Linked DNA regions of Oryzias latipes. The protein of the gene in region 1 purifies or fractionates together with the protein of each later gene. This does not show direct contact. Links are inferred from orthologs where the notes say so. Each region holds a gene or a part of one and is shown on either strand. Other genes may lie near its edges. The genes, in order: ppih and sart3.

What was found.
Region 2: the proteins of ppih (region 1) and sart3 purify together in Homo sapiens (affinity purification with mass spectrometry; 3 studies listed by BioGRID and IntAct, with this or other methods). This does not show direct contact. The link is inferred for Oryzias latipes from reciprocal best matches to the Homo sapiens genes PPIH and SART3.

Annotation. Positions count from the first base shown.
Region 1 is NC_019865.2:7,790,993-7,794,808, reverse strand, and holds the end of ppih (peptidyl-prolyl cis-trans isomerase H), read right to left. Parts: intron 2,856-3,816; coding exon 2,813-2,855; intron 2,137-2,812; coding exon 2,044-2,136; intron 1,877-2,043; coding exon 1,789-1,876; intron 1,703-1,788; coding exon 1,662-1,702; intron 709-1,661; coding exon 640-708; 3' UTR 471-639; downstream 1-470. UniProt on the Homo sapiens protein: PPIase that catalyzes the cis-trans isomerization of proline imidic peptide bonds in oligopeptides and may therefore assist protein folding. Participates in pre-mRNA splicing.
Region 2 is NC_019867.2:12,885,649-12,890,203, forward strand, and holds the start of sart3 (squamous cell carcinoma antigen recognized by T-cells 3), read right to left. Parts: upstream 3,086-4,555; 5' UTR 2,847-3,085; coding exon 2,646-2,846; intron 1,910-2,645; coding exon 1,783-1,909; intron 1,681-1,782; coding exon 1,576-1,680; intron 1,490-1,575; coding exon 1,305-1,489; intron 1,139-1,304; coding exon 1,033-1,138; intron 911-1,032; coding exon 786-910; intron 698-785; coding exon 542-697; intron 358-541; coding exon 219-357; intron 1-218. Other genes in the region: iscu (iron-sulfur cluster assembly enzyme ISCU, mitochondrial), read left to right, coding at 3,288-3,389, 3,557-3,670, 3,747-3,857, 3,938-4,016, 4,433-4,521. UniProt on the Homo sapiens protein: U6 snRNP-binding protein that functions as a recycling factor of the splicing machinery. Promotes the initial reassembly of U4 and U6 snRNPs following their ejection from the spliceosome during its maturation.

The DNA.
Region 1 (3,816 bases):
TATTCAAGTCATTGTGAATTAGAATGAGCTCAGATGAAAAAAAATGCTGTTTTGAAAAAAGGAGCTTAAATATGGCGTAGAAAATACGCAGGCAGACCTACTACGAGCTCCCAGCATCAGGAATGGGAAGTGGGGCGGAGTTGCTCTGCTCTCAGTGGACCCTCACAAATCCGATGCAATTTTTTAACTACTGCTCCTCTGCAGTAACTATGTTCTAGAAACAATAGACGTTTTTTGATTTGATTGTTATTTGAGTTTAGGAACAAGAAACATGGAAAACACAAAAGCAAATTTTTTTCCAATAAAAAAATTGGAATCAAAACTATTAGAAAATATGGCTTGTTAAAAAATACTAAAAAATGTTTCTTTTGCATAAATTTACATATTTTAAATGCACACTTAAAGCAATGTAATCTAACTTTTGTGGAATGACCAACAACATGTAAAAATATGGAGGGGAAAATGCAACATTTTTAGTAAAAAAAACAATTTTATTTGTTCCTCATGATAACAGTGTGGGAGCCAACAATTATTGTCTAAGGACCGAGAAGAAAATTTAGAAAATGTTTACACTTTGGATGCTACAAGAACTAAATCATGGAGTTTAAGATGACGTTTACCAGAACTTCTTCAAACAAATTACATTTCTCCACATTGAGCGATGAGGATTGGGAGTTTTGGCTTGTTGTTGGGTCCTGTGGGAACATTCTGTTTGAAGAAAGAAGAACATTTCAGAATAACCAGATTAATAACAGATTGAATTTGCAGCCCATTTTCCCAAACCTTTCAGGTTTTATACTCAAAACACGGTTAAAGATCATAAGTTTTGGTACCAGGGGGGAAAAAAAATCAATAGAAATACTAAAACATCCCCTGTGACCTGCAAACTTACTTTAAAATAAAGATAGTCAGACCTGCCTCTGAGATTTTAACCATTTTTTGTTACAATCAAGTCAAGAAAAATTCTATTTAAGAAATAAGTTCTAAAAGGATCAAACAGTAGTTACGAAATTAAAGTCCAAATTTCTAATTTCTTTTATTTGTCTTAAGGTTTTAAAGAATTATTAACTGTTACTTATTTCTGACTCCAGGAAAATTTCCTGCTTTCTCTGTTTTAAAATGCTTGATTTAAAAAAAAAAACATACATTAGGTTTTAGTATAAGATAAATATAACTTCAAAACAACAGCTTTTTTCCCTTACGTGTACATTATTATAACACATTATCACATCTTTTATGTTTATGAGGAGATTTGCAAACATACAGCTCTCTTAAGGATTAACCATATCATTTCAATTGGATTTAAATTCAGATTAGACCTGTACAAACTTTTAAATCTGATTCCCCCCCCCCTAATAATTATGTTCTGGGGTTTTTGGGCTATATTGACATAAATTTCTTGCTTTACTTGGCCCCCACTTTTAATTAAGTTTTAGTTTATGACCATCACAACGGTTTTAAGATGTTAAGGGTTATTAGCTGGAAATTCTACCCAACAACAGTATCCCACCACCTCCTTACGGGGTAACCAAAGATCTTTTAGCAGGAACCCTTCAATTTTTTTTCTATACACTTTGCTGGAAACAAAGCCCAGCTGCCCAACTTTGTTCCCTTTTGGTTGTTAAACATTTTAAACATAGTCAATAAAGGTTCATCTTTACCTCAATTTTTCTCATGATCAGCAAACCATCCACCACTTTTCCTGAAACAGAAACAAATTTAAGAATTTTAATCACACACAGAAGAAGAAAACAAAAAGCGCTCTTATCTTAATAACGACTTATTTACCAAAAACAACATGTTTCCCATCTAACCAGTCACATTTCGTGCAGGTTAGGAAGAACTGGCAACCATTTGTCCCAGGACCACTGTTAGCCTGTGAGAGAAGTGAATAGTAAAAATAAAAACAAAACAAAAAATGTTTCAATCCAGTCGAATCTGATGTCATGTATAATAACAAGACATCCAAAATATTCACAGGGCAACCTCTTTGCCTGATGAAGATGTCTCACTCTGTAAATGTGAATTCCTTTGCAAACCTACCATAGAAAGAAGACCAGGAGCAGAGTGCTTGTGCTTGAAGTTTTCATCTGCAAAAGGTCCTCTGTAGATACTGCAGACGCCGGTTCCATCCCCCTGCAGAACAACTATTCTCAGCAGAGCTCTTGAGATGTAATTCAGCTTTCAACCACAAGAGGGAGAAAGCTTTCCTTTCCTGCCATCATTAGATTTCAGAGCAACATTTAATTGGTTATGTCCTGAACATAGCTTAATGATGAGGAAAAGAGAAGCTACTCAAACTGAGATGTTTCAGTTCACATTTTTGGTTAGTTCTGCATCTAGATCTGGTTTTGAATTTCTATTTCTTGCACATATGATGCTTAACCTTTGTGTTGTGTTTTCATTCTCCTGCATGAGTTTATGATTTATTGTAATACAAGACATAAAAAAACCTGTCTTTTATTTTGCATTTATAAACTACAACATCAGCCTGTATTTAATGGTACTAGTTCACCTGTAAAAGTCATCTGTAAGTTTTATGAGTATTTTAAATTGGGTTTATTTCAGAAGTGTTGTATACCTGCAAGAGTTAGACAGGGTGTGTCTGCATTGAAAAATCAAGATCTATTAAAAAACAGGCTAATGACAGAAGAAAAAGCTTCAACAGTTGAATGACGTCCAAACCTCAAAGAGATTAAACACTCGAACGCCAGCAAACACACAAACGCCAGCAAACACACAAATGATTAACATGATCTAACTTTTACTTTTGTCCAGCCTAAGAGAGATGTCGAGACGTTAGCGTACTTACATTGACAAAGTCTCCTCCTTGTATCATGAAGTCCTTGATGACTCTGCCATGGGACAAAGGTTGAGGGGGGGGGGGGGGGGGGGGTCAATAGAAATATAAAAACATTCGCTGTGACCTGCAAACTTACTTAAAACTAAAGATAGTCAGACCTGATATTTGAAACATTTTTTGTTACAATCCAGTCAAGAAAAATTCTATTTGAGAAATAAATTGTAAAATTATAGGCACGACATTAGACAGAAACGTACACTGAAGATCTACGCACACAACTGTTGATCCGTCTTAGCCTTTGAGTCACAAAAGTTAGCTTTCAAAGCTATAAAGACAAAGCACTTTGTTTCTGTGTACGGTGCAAGTCTTTCTAATTAGTTGTGGTATTTTTCTATTTTTTTTGTCTCATCACAGTTGCCTTGATGTCGGCAGTGGAAAGAAACTAAGCTTTTCTTTGTGATTCTTGAAGTGCATCCCATCTTATCCTCTCTTATCCATTTTAACTGCTGAGTCCCAACTAAAAGAGAGCCTCCAGTGCTGGCAGGTTTCTATCTCCTGGACTGATCTCAGACACTAAACTGGTCCCCATTTTCTTTTACGATCAAGTCAAACACGGGCCGTCTGGGTGACTTAAAACAATCCTCCTTTTTTGGTTTAGACTTGGTGATTTAGATAGAATTTGGTTAGATAAACCTGACAAGAAATGTTATTACTTTAAACTTGAATCAGAATTTGGTTGTTCTTCCCACAGTTTTAAGCCTTCTACTACACAGCTGTTTTCTACAATCCTACAAAATCCCCGACTCTGTGTTAAGCGCACCTTGAAGATTTGATGCTGATTTGGAGGGAAAAAGTACCAACACCAATTTGATTTGGACTTTTCTATTGCTCACTGATTTAACATTTTTTAAATTTATGGAAATAAACAATTATTATTTACACATCTGAAAGCATGCTTAGTTCACTGCCTTTTTTCCCTCCTGCCAAATATTGTTTTTGCACTGAATATGAAA
Region 2 (4,555 bases), on another chromosome or scaffold:
ACCGTTGCAAAAAAACTCAATTTAGTTATTTTTTAAATCACCCGTAACAAAAAATTCGAATTAATTCATTCGATTTTTCTCCCTAAATGAAAATTTCAAGGAAAAAAACATTTTCTTTAACAACTTTTTTCTCCTCCACTGTTTAAAACCATTTTAATAAGGAATTAAAAGTTAGTCATCACACATGTGGTAAATGTCACAGGTAATCAAACTGGTACCTGACACAGTGTGATGGTCTGCTCCATGCCTCTCTAAAGCCAGCAGGTAGCTCTTCCACAGACTCATGGTCCAGGGGCAGTTCCTAACAGCCCGCTCATGAGTGGACAGAACCAAGTCTTTAACCTTCAGCTGGCGATCCTAAAAGATCAAAAATAAAAGACAAAAATCTAAGCAACACTTTTTTTTTAATTATGTTTTCATTTTTCTTTCTTAATTGGCCAATTTACTAAAATGCTAAATAAACAGAAACAGGCAGCTGAACTAAAACAAATACATAGCAAAAATTTCATTCTTTATAGACTGAACAATAATCAATACTCACAAGATACTTGGTGCATTTAGACCACATGTCTGGAACCAAGCAGTTCTCTGCCAGAGCTCTTTCAAAGGTAATCTGGATCCGTGCTGGGTCCCCCACCTTCAATTCAAAGTCAATGTAGGCCTGATATTCAGCCAGTTTAGGAGGTTCGGCCACCAGCTGCAGCAGACGGATGCAAGAAGATGTTAACAACTAGAAAAAAGTCGCTCAAGACAGATTCAAAACCAAATGTGTGCAGGTCAGCTACCAGAGCCTCTTCAAGGGGTTTGCACTTCTCCATCTGCTGCAACGCTTTTTTGTACTGATGCGCGACGGCCTCAGGCACTCCATGCTCAGACCACTCTTCATACTCTGCATAAGTAGCTTCCATGTCTACAAAAGCACACAAGTCCAAAGGTTTACAGATTAGAACTATTTTAATCTGGTGACATCTAAAAAAGGTACACTTAAATAGCAACACTGATTCAGATTTTGAATTTTATCTGGCTGCTTACCCATTAAGGGGATGGCCAGCTGACGGCGAAACAGTGTGTGAATTCTTTCAAGCTGGGTTTTTATCAGCTCCTGTTCCTCATTCCTGGGAACTTTGCCAGGGGGAGGCTGACAGAAGATTACAAAACAAAAAAAGATGAAATTTGGCCCAATCTGTCAAACACTATAGTTGTTTGTTTAAAGATGCAGACTTTTTTATCTTTAAGTAAAGCATCTTTGAAATTTAAACCCAGATTTTGAGTCTGAAGAGACAAAAAAAAAAGTAAACACAAACCTGCAATGTGGACAGAATGGCGTTCTCAAACTCTCTGTATGCCTCCCACACTGACTGTCCTTTTGTCATGTGAAGCCCCACAGCTGTCACTGCCCTCTCAAAGATGGATCTCACCTTGTCTATCCCACCTGGTGAGCCCATACCCCCAATTGAGTACTGGGCATATTCAAGCCAAATTTCTGGACCTGTGTTAAAAAAAACAAAAGACATTAAGGCAATCTAATAACTGAACATTGGATTAAAGGAAATGACAATAACATGGTGCACTGACAGATGTAGTCTTTGATGGCTCTTTCAAACAACTCATAGACTTTTTCTCTGTTTGACTCTTCTTCTGTCAGACGAATCTCATCTTTGAGCCAGTCCAGCCAGATTTCTGCAGAATTTGAAACAAAAAAGGAGGCGTTTACATATCTGTCACAAACAATGCAGTGCTAGTATTCTGTCTGTGCTGGAACTGCGTTAGACATAACCTAACCTTCAGTAAGAGGGAAAAGTTCGCTCATCTTCTGTCTTGCTTTTCGCAGACGGATAAGTTCTCCCTCTTGTTTCAGCAGTTTGATGAGATCCACGTGGCAGTTGTAGTCGAAGGCGTTGATAGACAGCTGAGGATGAGCACAGAAAAAAATATTATTTGGTAGCAATACATTATCAAAATATAAGGCAGCTTCTATAAGCTATGTAACCTTATTATTGCATAGTACTGTAAAGAGAAAAAAATAAAGCAAGACTCCAATAGCAAGCGGTCAAAACTTTGCTGTCAAATGTTTACCAATTAATTCCTCTTTATTGTGTATTAAAAGAAAAAAAAACACATGAGCCAAGTTCTCCTTATTATAAGCAAAAGGTCAAAGGTTATAAACCCAAAGACCGTCTTGGACACAGCTAAAGACAAAGTAAACACTACAAACTGTGCAGTCTAAGTAAGCAATCTTAAGTGGGTACAGATAAAGGAATCATTTAACCCTTTCCTTAGCACAATATAAACATTATTTTCACTATATACTAAACAGGACAAATGTACAGAATACAGTGCAGGCTACCCCTCAGTTTGTTCTTTAAAAGTCAAGAAGAGTAATGATGACAATATCCCGAAAGGATAAAAAGGCGCGATAACTGCTAGCTTAACCAGTTAGCAGGAATGAGCAGGATTGCCATATAAACATCGTAAACGTTTCATGTGTGATTCGCTAACAAAAATGATATTTATTTATTTGTCAAGAAGAGTTAACTATGCTGATGAGTGAGTCGTTTTATAACTGCTTCTTGGTATAGGCTTTGCGATTCATTCATTGATATTAGCACCTCGGCTAAAGCATGACTGCTTGATGATGTCAATACCTGTTCTTCCAACCGCTGGATTTCGGCTTCATTTTCTTTTTCGTCTTCCGAAGAATCGTCCTCTTCTTCGTCTGAGTTTTCGACACGCATGCCCTCTTCGTCCTCCTCTTCGTCTGAATCCATCTCCCTCTCTTCCACCTTTGCTCCGTCCTCCTCCATATCTTGCAACTGCGTTTGTTCTGCGTTAGCTGGCGCTGCCATGTTGGAAATACTGTCTGCCTGGCAACAGCAGCCTGAGCAGCCAATTCTTATTGAAAACCCGCCCCGTCCCAACGGTGAAAGACGTGCGCGTTCACGCTATGCTCGTGCCTCAAAATATTAGGATTACGGAGTGCGTGAGTGGACAAACTAACTTAAGAAACAATTTACAGTTGCGGTCATTGGGAGCAATTGGAACGGGGATAACTACAAAAATATGAGCGGGACAAAAGTGTGTCTCCATGCCAGTGACACTGACGGTGACTGGTTCAATAAAACACTGAGCCACATAAAAAAAGAAGCAAGTTTGGCAATTACCACTTCAACCGCTAGATGGAGCTTTTTCGACATGTTAACACGAAGTCCACCATGTTTATCAGCAAACAGCGTTCGGCACCTCTCGTGTTCACTCGGCATTCATCGTTCACAATCGGCAATGTGAACATGGCGATGATCAGTGTACGAAACTGTGCGTCCTTGCCTTCCTTGTTTTGCAGCAGGCTATTTAGACCGGAGTTAAAGTCACTTTGCTCATACCACAAAAAGGTAAAACATTGAATGCACAAATACACGGCTTTTATTTTAAACAAAGTTGCCAGTTTTGCGAAAACGGTAGTTGGTGTGGCTGAACTGAACAAGCTAATGCATGCGACATGCTATTTGTGTCTCTGTAACCTACCCCGTATTATATATATTTTTAATTTTTTTCGAAGGTGGTTGACCATTATGAAAACCCGAGAAACGTGGGATCTTTGGACAAAAACTCCAAAAGTGTGGGGACAGGTTTGGTAGGTGCACCAGCCTGTGGTGACGTAATGAAACTCCAGGTAAGCTTGAATTTGGCCAAACACGTTATATTTCAGATTTTTATACATTATTAATTTACTTTAATATTGATCCTAGATTCAAGTTGATGAAAATGGAAAAATAGTGGATGCAAAGTTTAAAACATTCGGCTGTGGGTCGGCTATAGCCTCCAGCTCCCTAGCAACAGAGTGGGTGAAGGGGAAGTCGGTGAGTTACGAAAAAAGGCTCCGAAAAGTTTGTTTGTTTTATCTAAGGATCATAATAACATACTTTTTAAAATCCTGTAGCTGGATGAAGCTATGAAGATTAAAAATTCAGACATTGCCAAAGAACTGTGCCTCCCTCCAGTCAAGCTTCATTGTTCCAGTAAGTTTGATTTTCCTATTCGAGCTGCCTGCCTTGTAGATGATACATTTAATGGTAGAATACACACAATTGCTGCATTGAAATCACATTACACAAAGTGTGACACAACTGATTGCCTGTTTTAGGATTTATTTGTATTAAAATTATTTTTTTGTGTGGACACTTGTTTTTGGACAACACAAAGGAGGAGAAAAAAGTACAACTTCCTGAGTTCTCCAAATCCACTAAATTAATTTCATATTTAACCCCATTTCAGCAAAACTGCATGTTACATTGTAAATAGATCTTTTATATGAGTGTTATTCGTTATTTACTCTTAGTGTTACAAAATAAATAGAGAAACAATCATCAAAATCGGAATTCCTGCTGTTATTGCATTAAATTTGTGCCGTGTCCTTTCACTTTTTCCTTTTCAGTGCTTGCAGAAGATGCCATAAAAGCAGCGCTCTCAGACTACAAAATCAAACAGGACAAGAAAGAGGAACACGCCAAAGCCAGCAGTTAATTCTTTTCCACGTTCATCCTGGTGAAAGAGATAT